Linked DNA regions of Macaca mulatta. The protein of the gene in region 1 interacts with the protein of each later gene in a pairwise test. Links are inferred from orthologs where the notes say so. Each region holds a gene or a part of one and is shown on either strand. Other genes may lie near its edges.

Region 1 (3,645 bases):
GGCTCCTGCCCCTCTCCCGAAGCCCATCCTGCCCACCCCGCCTGAGTTCTCCCCATCTGCCTTCCTCCCTGCCAGTGTCTGTCATCAGTGGCCACCGCCCTGCAGAGTGGCTTCCTGCCTTACTGTGAGCCCGTTTACCAGCGCTGCGTCACCCTGGTGCAGAAGACGCTGGCTCAGGCCATGGTGAGCACCCCCACGCCCATCACCTATGCTTCTGCATTGGCCTGCCTCGGGCCTGCTCTCCACTCACCCTTGCCCCGTCCCCATCTGTGTCTAGATGTACACCCAGCACCCCGAGCAGTATGAGGCTCCCGACAAGGACTTCATGATCGTAGCGCTGGATCTGCTCAGCGGCCTGGCTGAGGGCCTGGGTGGTCACGTGGAGCAGCTGGTGGCCCGCAGCAACATCATGACACTGCTGTTCCAGTGCATGCAGGTGGGTGGGGACCTGGACAGTGATGACACCCAGCAGCCTGCGTGGGCTGCCCCTGGCGGGGACTCAGGGCCTGGTTGTGCGCAAAGAAAATCAGGGAAAAGGGGCTGTTCTAATTATTTTAAACAGTGATCCGGGAGGCTGAAGCAGGAGGATGGCTTGAGCCCAGGTGTTTGAGACCAGCCTGGGCAACATAATGAGACCCCAGTTCTAAAATTTAAAATTTTTTTTTTTTTTTTTTGAGACGGAGTCTTGCTCTGTTGCCCAGGCTGGAGTGCAGTGGCCGGATCTCAGCTCACTGCAAGCTCCGCCTCCCAGGTTCACGCCATTCTCCTGCCTCAGCCTCCCGAGTTGCTGGGACTACAGGCGCCCGCCACCTCGCCCAGCTAGTTTTTTGTATTTTTTAGTAGAGACGGGGTTTCATTGTGTTAGCCAGGATGGTCTCGATCTCCTGACCTCGTGATCCGCCCGCCTCGGCCTCACAAAGTGCTGGGATTATAGGCTTGAGCCACCGCGCCCAGCCCAAAAAACTTTTTTTAAAAAAGCAAACGGTATTGAAAATAGAAAATATGAGGCCAAGCGCTCATGCCTGTAATCCAGCACTTTGGGAGACCGTGGCAGGTGAATCACTTGAGGTCAGGATTTTGAGACTAGCCTGGCCAACATGGTGAAATCCTGTCTCTACTAAACATATAAAAATTAGCCAGGCATAGTGGCAGGTGCCTCTAATCCCAGCTACTTGGGAGGCTGAGGCAGGAGAATTGCTTGAACCCAGGAAGCAGAGGTTGCAGTGAGCTGAGATCATGCCACTGTATTCAAGACTGGACAATAGAGTGAGCCTCCGTCTCTTTCAAAAAAAAAAAAAAAAGAAAACATGAAAGCCCAAGTCCCTGCCCCAGCACAGTTGGCTCTCCATATCTGTGGGTTCTACATCCCAAGATTCAAGCAACCTCAGACTGAAAATACTCAGAGGGGGCCGGGCGCGGTGGCTCACGCCTGTAATCCCAGCACTTCGGGAGGCCAAGGTGGGCGGATCACAAGGTCAGGAGATCGAGACCATGGTGAAACCCCGTCTCTACTAAAAATAGAAAAAATTAGCCGGGCGCAGTGGCGGGCGCCTGTAGTCCCAGCTACTCGGGAGGCTGAGGCAGGAGAATGGTGTGAACCCGGGAGGCGGAGCTTGCAGTGAGCCGAGATTGTGCCACTGCACTCCAGCCTGGGCGACAGAGCGAGACTCCGTCTCAAAAAAAAAATAAAAATAAAAAAGAAAATACTCAGAGGGGCCGGGCGCGGTTGCTCAAGCCTGTAATCCCAGCACTTTGGGAGGCCGAGACGGGTGGATCACGAGGTCAGGAGATCGAGGCCATCCTAGTGAACATGGTGAAACCCCGTCTCTACTAAAAAAAATACAAAAAACTAGCCAGGCGAGGTGGTGGGCGCCTGTAGTCCCAGCTGCTCAGGAGGCTGAGGCAGGAGAATGGCGTAAACCCGGGAGGCAGAGCTTGCAGTGAGCTGAGATCGGGCCACTGCACTCCAGCCTGGGCGACAGAGCGAGACTCCGTCTCAAAAAAAAAAAAAAAAAAAAAGAAAATATTCAGAGGAAAAATTACATCTGTACTGAACACATACAGACGTTTGTTCTTGTTATTATTCCCTAAACAATACAGTATAACAACTATTCCCATACTGTTGACATTGTATTAGATATAAGTGACTTAGAGATGATACTAAGTGTACAGGAGAATGTGCATAGGTGCATATGCAAACAGTATGCCCCCCGCCCGTCCCCCACCTTTTTTTTGAGACAGAGTTTCACTCTGTCACCCAGGCCCGGGTTCAAGCAGTTCTCCTGCCTCAGCCTCTCAAGAAACTGGGACTACAGGCATGTCCCACCATGCCTGGCTAACTTTCTTGTATTTTTAGTAAAGACAGGGTTTTGCCATGTTGGCCAGGCTGGTCTCAAACTCCTGACCTCAAGTGATCTGCCTTCCTTGGCCTCCCAAAGCGCTGGAGATTATAGGCATGAGCCACTGCGCCCGGCCCTAACACTATGCCACTTTATATCAAGGACTTGCACATTCGTGGATTTTGATAGCTGCAGGGACCTGGGAAAGAATCCCCCATGGACACTGAGGGATGACCGTTGGGGCACTGCCATCTCCCATTTGCAGATGTGGACTGGAGGCTAGGGAGGTTAAGGAAAACCTAGGAGCCCTAGAACTGGAAAATGGCAGAGGCTGGACATGCACCAGGGACTGTGCCCCCTCAGCTGTCGTGGTTAGGAGGAGGGGAGCCCAACCACACTGATATTTCTTGAATCCCCAGGATTCGATGCCTGAGGTCCGGCAGAGCTCCTTTGCCCTCCTGGGAGACCTCACCAAAGCCTGCTTCATCCATGTCAAGCCTTGTATTGGTACGACACTCACCTTGTCCCTAACCCATGACCCCAGCCCCGGCCTCAAGTGATGGAGAGCAATACCCAGGGATGACTGTGACATTGGGATGTATTCGTACTGTCTGATGGGGCCTGCTGGGCTAGGTCTGCAGCTTACCCCAGCTGGCCCTCCTGCTCAGCACTCCTGTTTCTCCCCACCAGCCGAGTTCATGCCCATTCTGGGCACCAACCTGAACCCAGAGTTCATCTCGGTCTGCAACAACGCCACCTGGGCCATTGGTGAAATCTGCATGCAGATGGGTGAGTGCCCTGCAAGTGGCAACAGGCCCCTCCCCATTAGCCTGTTCTCAACCTGGGGGCGGGAGCCTAGCTCTGACTGACACGGGAAGTCTCTGGGGGCTCGTCATGGGTGGAGCCAAGCAGAAAGGTCATTTGTGATTGGCTTCACCAAAGAGAAGGGATAGGAGGGCTGTTCTGATTGGACCGTTTTGTGTAGTTGGCTAAAAGACTCACTCGGATTAATTGGGTGACTTTGGCCCTCACTCGAATTGATTGGGTGACTTTGGCTTCTTTTCCTTTGACTTGGGCAGCGTATTCTCACCTTAGCGACTCCAGAGAAGTCTCTGATGTTTGAAGGGTGTGGATCTGTTCCTGGTTGACCAGGGATTCTGGGTGGGGATTAGCCGGAGAAGGTCTTTTGTTCCCTCACTGGTAGTGGTTGGCCAGTCTCTGGTTAGAACTGGGGTCAGTGAGTGACGGGGGCAGCCCCGAGCCCCCCCTGTGGGTGAAGGGGGCTGTGCAGGGCTCTGATTGGGTG
Region 2 (4,297 bases), on another chromosome or scaffold:
AAGTTATGTTTTATCTTTCAGCTGTGAAATTTTAAGTCTCTGAAGTAATACTACGAACAAATTAGCAATAGGATTGCAAGGTTTTTATAGTCCCGTGCTGTAGAACAAAAGGCAGTAATTTGAAAAAACTCGTCCATAACGCTGTTTTCGGTCTGCGTCAAATTTGCAATTGCATAGTTTTATTAAAGAGAACGGGAAAGAGGGCCCAGAAGTTGTTCTAGCAATCGGCAGCAATTTATCTATTTTAAATTGTAATGCATACTTTTTTTTCCTCCTACTGAAAACAATGGCAGATATGCTAAAGGGAAGGACACATTCTTGAACCACTAAGTGGTTTTTCAGATAGCCATTTACGGAGTGCACTCAAGTCCCACTATCTGGCTGAAAGCAAAGTACACACGACCTCCCCTTTTCCTTTTTCCCTTTGCAAAGCGAAACAGGCTAGACGCGTTTACGTGATGTGAATGACGTCAGCCCCCACCGGGTCGCGTGACCGACACCCAACCTTCCTACTACCTCGCCCCGGCCGCCAGAGTGGGAAATATCGCGAGAACTCGCCTTACTATCAGAACTTACTGAGGTTACAGGGGAGTTACTCAGAAGGGAAGGGAAGGTGTGGTTGAGTGGTGGAGTTTTTGCCTTCATTCTTTTAACGTTCATAGCCAAAGCAAAGGCCTTTGGGAATTGCCAGAGCCTCAGCCACCATCCTGGAAAACAGCGGGGGAGGTGGGCCTGGAGGTGGCAAGTGAAATGTGGCTCAGGGGTCGTCATTGCCCCTTGCAGAAGGGGCTGCGGGGGAGGGAGACAGCCTGCGCCGGGTTCTGGGGAGCTGGCGACGCAGTGAACCCCGCTGAGGTTGGGTTTTGCCCCAACAGTCGCTGGTGGCTGTGGGAAGGGTTGGGACCTTCTCTGAGAGCAATGAACAGCCCACATCCGGCCCCTGCTGTGTCAACTTTGAGTGGCGTGGAGATGAAGTGGTTGCTCTGCCTTGCTCGGCCACAGCGGGTGTCGTGGGCCGGCAGCCGGCCTGGAGAAGTCACTGCTGCCCAGCGCCCAAAACAGGGGCGTGGGCTACCGCGACCAAGGGCGGCAGCCCCGGGCCATCCTCGAGTTGCCCTGCATCTTCCCGCTCAGTCAGCCCCAGATTGAGGCAGGCTTCTCTGTGCGGGTTTAAATGGGTAACTGACGTCTCGCCTCATTCACCCAAACCTCCAGGCTTCTCCCCCGCAAATCCTCCTCCACCCACCTGGTTTCTCCTAGACGGGTGTGCTCGTGTGTGCGACCGAAGGAGGGATAGCGAGAGATCCACGAAGGGACACACTTGGAGTCGCTAGAGGGAGGTGTGGGACCAGCGAGGAGGGGGCTTCGCCAGGGAGGGGGTGCTGGCTGGCGGAGGGAGCGGCGGGAGGAGGCGCCAGGGGAGGAGACGGAGGCCTGGGGACGGCAGACGAGGCTTCGTCCGAGCCGAGCGCTCTTTCTCTCGCTGCGCCGTCTTGAAGCCGCGCGGGCTCGTGAGCAGCGCGAGGCAGTCAAGGTGCCTCGCTTCGCCGGATCCGCTGCTGCCCGCTGGAGGGAAGCCGGTCCCGGGCGCGCACGCTCGCCCGAGCCCCGGGCGCGCTCCGCGCCTGAGCCTGCTGACAGCTGCCGCTGGGCTCTGGCTGTCCGCTCCGGGCTCCGCGGCCTCGGCCCCGCTGCACTCCACCTCCGCCCCCTCGGACTCCCTCCCCTCTGCTTCTACCCCTCCTGCCTCCAGTGCGGATCGTTTCGCAACTGCTTGCCACTCGCCCCGTGCCCGGCTGTTTTTCCGTTTCCCGGCCCCCTCTTCTTGAATACTTTACCCCCTGTATTTGGGGACAGGGACTGGAAAAGGGGCGGGTGGAGCGTCCAGTGGAGAAGAAGGAAGCGAGGCCCGCAGGAGGAGGAGGATCGGCGGACCGTGGGGAGGAGACCCCACGCCACCGTTTCTGGTCATCTCCCCTCCCGCCCCGCCCCTGCGCACACTCCCTCGCGGGCGAGCTACTTTCGGACCAGGAAAGTAAGGGCGGCCCTGGGTGACAGCGCCGCGGGGCCAATCCCGGGGTTAGCCGCGCGTCTGCTCGCTTCTCGTCCGTCGCGCTCCCAGCCAGGGCACAGCCCGGACCAAGGATGGCTTCGACCACAACCTGCACCAGGTTCACGGACGAGTATCAGCTTTTCGAGGAGCTTGGAAAGTAAGCGCCTTTGCCCGGCATCCTCATGTCCCCTTTCCAGCTGAGGGCGGGTCGCGTTGCCCCAGACCCACCGGCCTCCGTCTTGGGGCGAGGGAGTTTGGGAGACGAGAGGAGTGGGAGGAGGGCCCCTGGTTTGTCAGCTCTGGGGAAGGTGCTGTCTTAGTAAGGGGAGGGAACACAGAAGGCGTAGGACCCTTGCCCCGGCTGTGGCTCATTTCGATAGTCCCTAGCCCACCTTCTCCCGGTCCCCCACCCTTCTGCACTGAGAGACTTAGTGAATTTACGATCTCTGCAGTTGTAGCTGTCATCCTGAGAAGTGTGCGCGCGCGCCTGTGTGTAATGTGTGTTTGGAGAGGAAATTAGAACCCATGTAAAATGCAACATAGATCATGTTTTCTGTAAATAGAGATGCCTCCTGGTTAGCCGGCGTGTCGGCCGTATGACCCATGTACTGAGGAGAACTCACAGCCTCAGACGGTGCCATATTTATTGATGCCGAAAGTTCAACTTGGCATGGAGACTATTTCGCATCCAGTAGTTGTTCTGTCCAGGAAAAGGGCCACCCAACAGAACCCAACCCCTTGCCCTATATCCACTGTTATTCTTTGCACCAGATTACCGCTCACCATCATTCTTCCTAGGATTTACGTGTGCATCTTTGCGTTCTCTGGGAGGATTTATTTATACAGGCAGCGGAAAAGCCCTCTGGAGACTGAGCGCGCTCTTAAGAGTAGCCTAGCATTGTGTAAAACCACCTCCTCTACCTAACTGGCAGAACTATTTGGAGATGCTAGGGAAGGAGGCAGGAGATCTACTGAGGACTTGTGTAAAGGGACCTAGGGGCCGAGCCGTGAATGCTGATTTTAGTAGCATTGAACCCAAACCCAATTCCTCTTTCACTAGTTTCGACTGTTACTTTTATGAAAGGGGTGCGTTTATATGTATGTTGTTGGTTTATACTGTAATTAAAGGAAAGGTAAATATTTTTGAAGGTAATAAAAATTATATATGTATATATTGTCTGGTGTTAAAACATGGAGAATATGTCGGAAGAGCAGCTTAATTCAAATCTCTCCCCTCCCCCAGCCCAAAACAAGACACAGAGAAATCACCATACCAGGATTTGTTAAACCACACTAATGTGCTCAAGATTGATATTTTAATGAAAATAATCGCCGTGTTTACTTACTTGGAACCACATTAATTTTTTGTTTCCTACCAAAGTAAGTAGGCGGCAGATTTTTTTGCTGCTCTTCCTCTGCTCTCTTCTGTGCAGGGTTTTTCTCAGAGCATTTGGTGCTGTGAGTGTGAACTGTAAAATGTTTTCAAATTTCTTGTGCAAACAAGAGCGGTCATAATTGGCAGTTCCTTTCATTTTGTTGATTAATAATGTGTGCTCCCAGTTAAATAAAATTTACTTTTATTCTTCAACATTAAAGAAAGTCTAGGTTTCCAGGAAGAATTGTTCATTTACTGGATATTACTGTACTTCACTGGCAATCCACTAAAATCAATAAAAATGCTCAGATTTTATAAATTTTTTAATGGAATGTTATATCTGTTATATTAATGACCTGCTAATTATTGGTTTCCAGGGGGGCATTCTCAGTGGTGAGAAGATGTATGAAAATTCCTACTGGACAAGAATATGCTGCCAAAATTATCAACACCAAAAAGCTTTCTGCTAGGGGTGGGTATTTTCAACCACATATATTGGTTAATTTTGTATGTGTCATGTTGATTATAGGTTCTGTTGTATGTAAATATCATGTAGTTATAACTGAATTTTAGACTTAGGTATCATATTACATACTGAGATTATTTTCTTCCTGAATGCTTCTTGGTCTGTACAGTTTAAAAATAAATGGAAAGATATAATTATTATTCGATAATTGCTATTAAAATTCTATCTGTCCTACAGGCAATAGCATGAATAACTATATTTTAAAGCAAATAAATGTCAGGTGCATTTTGCTTATAGTTTAAGTATAAAATAACTTTTAGAAAGACGATGGAATGGAAAAATATAAGTCTCACAACTGTCATAATTCCCTTTTGCTTTTGGGAGGAAAATAGGTCATAGCTCA

The links.
Region 2: the proteins of TNPO2 (region 1) and CAMK2D interact in binary tests that used the Homo sapiens proteins (3 or more experiments, as listed by UniProt). The two-hybrid records come from large-scale screens. The link is inferred for Macaca mulatta from reciprocal best matches to the Homo sapiens genes TNPO2 and CAMK2D.

The regions. Positions count from the first base shown.
Region 1 is NC_133424.1:13,255,699-13,259,343, reverse strand, and holds part of TNPO2 (transportin-2), read left to right. Parts: intron 1-75; coding exon 76-183; intron 184-277; coding exon 278-436; intron 437-2,758; coding exon 2,759-2,846; exon of another isoform or gene 2,847-2,961; intron 2,962-2,972; exon of another isoform or gene 2,973-3,029; coding exon 3,030-3,128; exon of another isoform or gene 3,129-3,171; intron 3,172-3,593; exon of another isoform or gene 3,594-3,645. UniProt on the Homo sapiens protein: Probably functions in nuclear protein import as nuclear transport receptor. Serves as receptor for nuclear localization signals (NLS) in cargo substrates.
Region 2 is NC_133410.1:123,024,677-123,028,973, reverse strand, and holds the start of CAMK2D (calcium/calmodulin-dependent protein kinase type II subunit delta), read left to right. Parts: upstream 1-1,445; 5' UTR 1,446-2,145; coding exon 2,146-2,210; intron 2,211-3,805; coding exon 3,806-3,900; intron 3,901-4,297. UniProt on the Homo sapiens protein: Calcium/calmodulin-dependent protein kinase involved in the regulation of Ca(2+) homeostatis and excitation-contraction coupling (ECC) in heart by targeting ion channels, transporters and accessory proteins involved in Ca(2+) influx into the myocyte, Ca(2+) release from the sarcoplasmic reticulum (SR), SR Ca(2+) uptake and Na(+) and K(+) channel transport.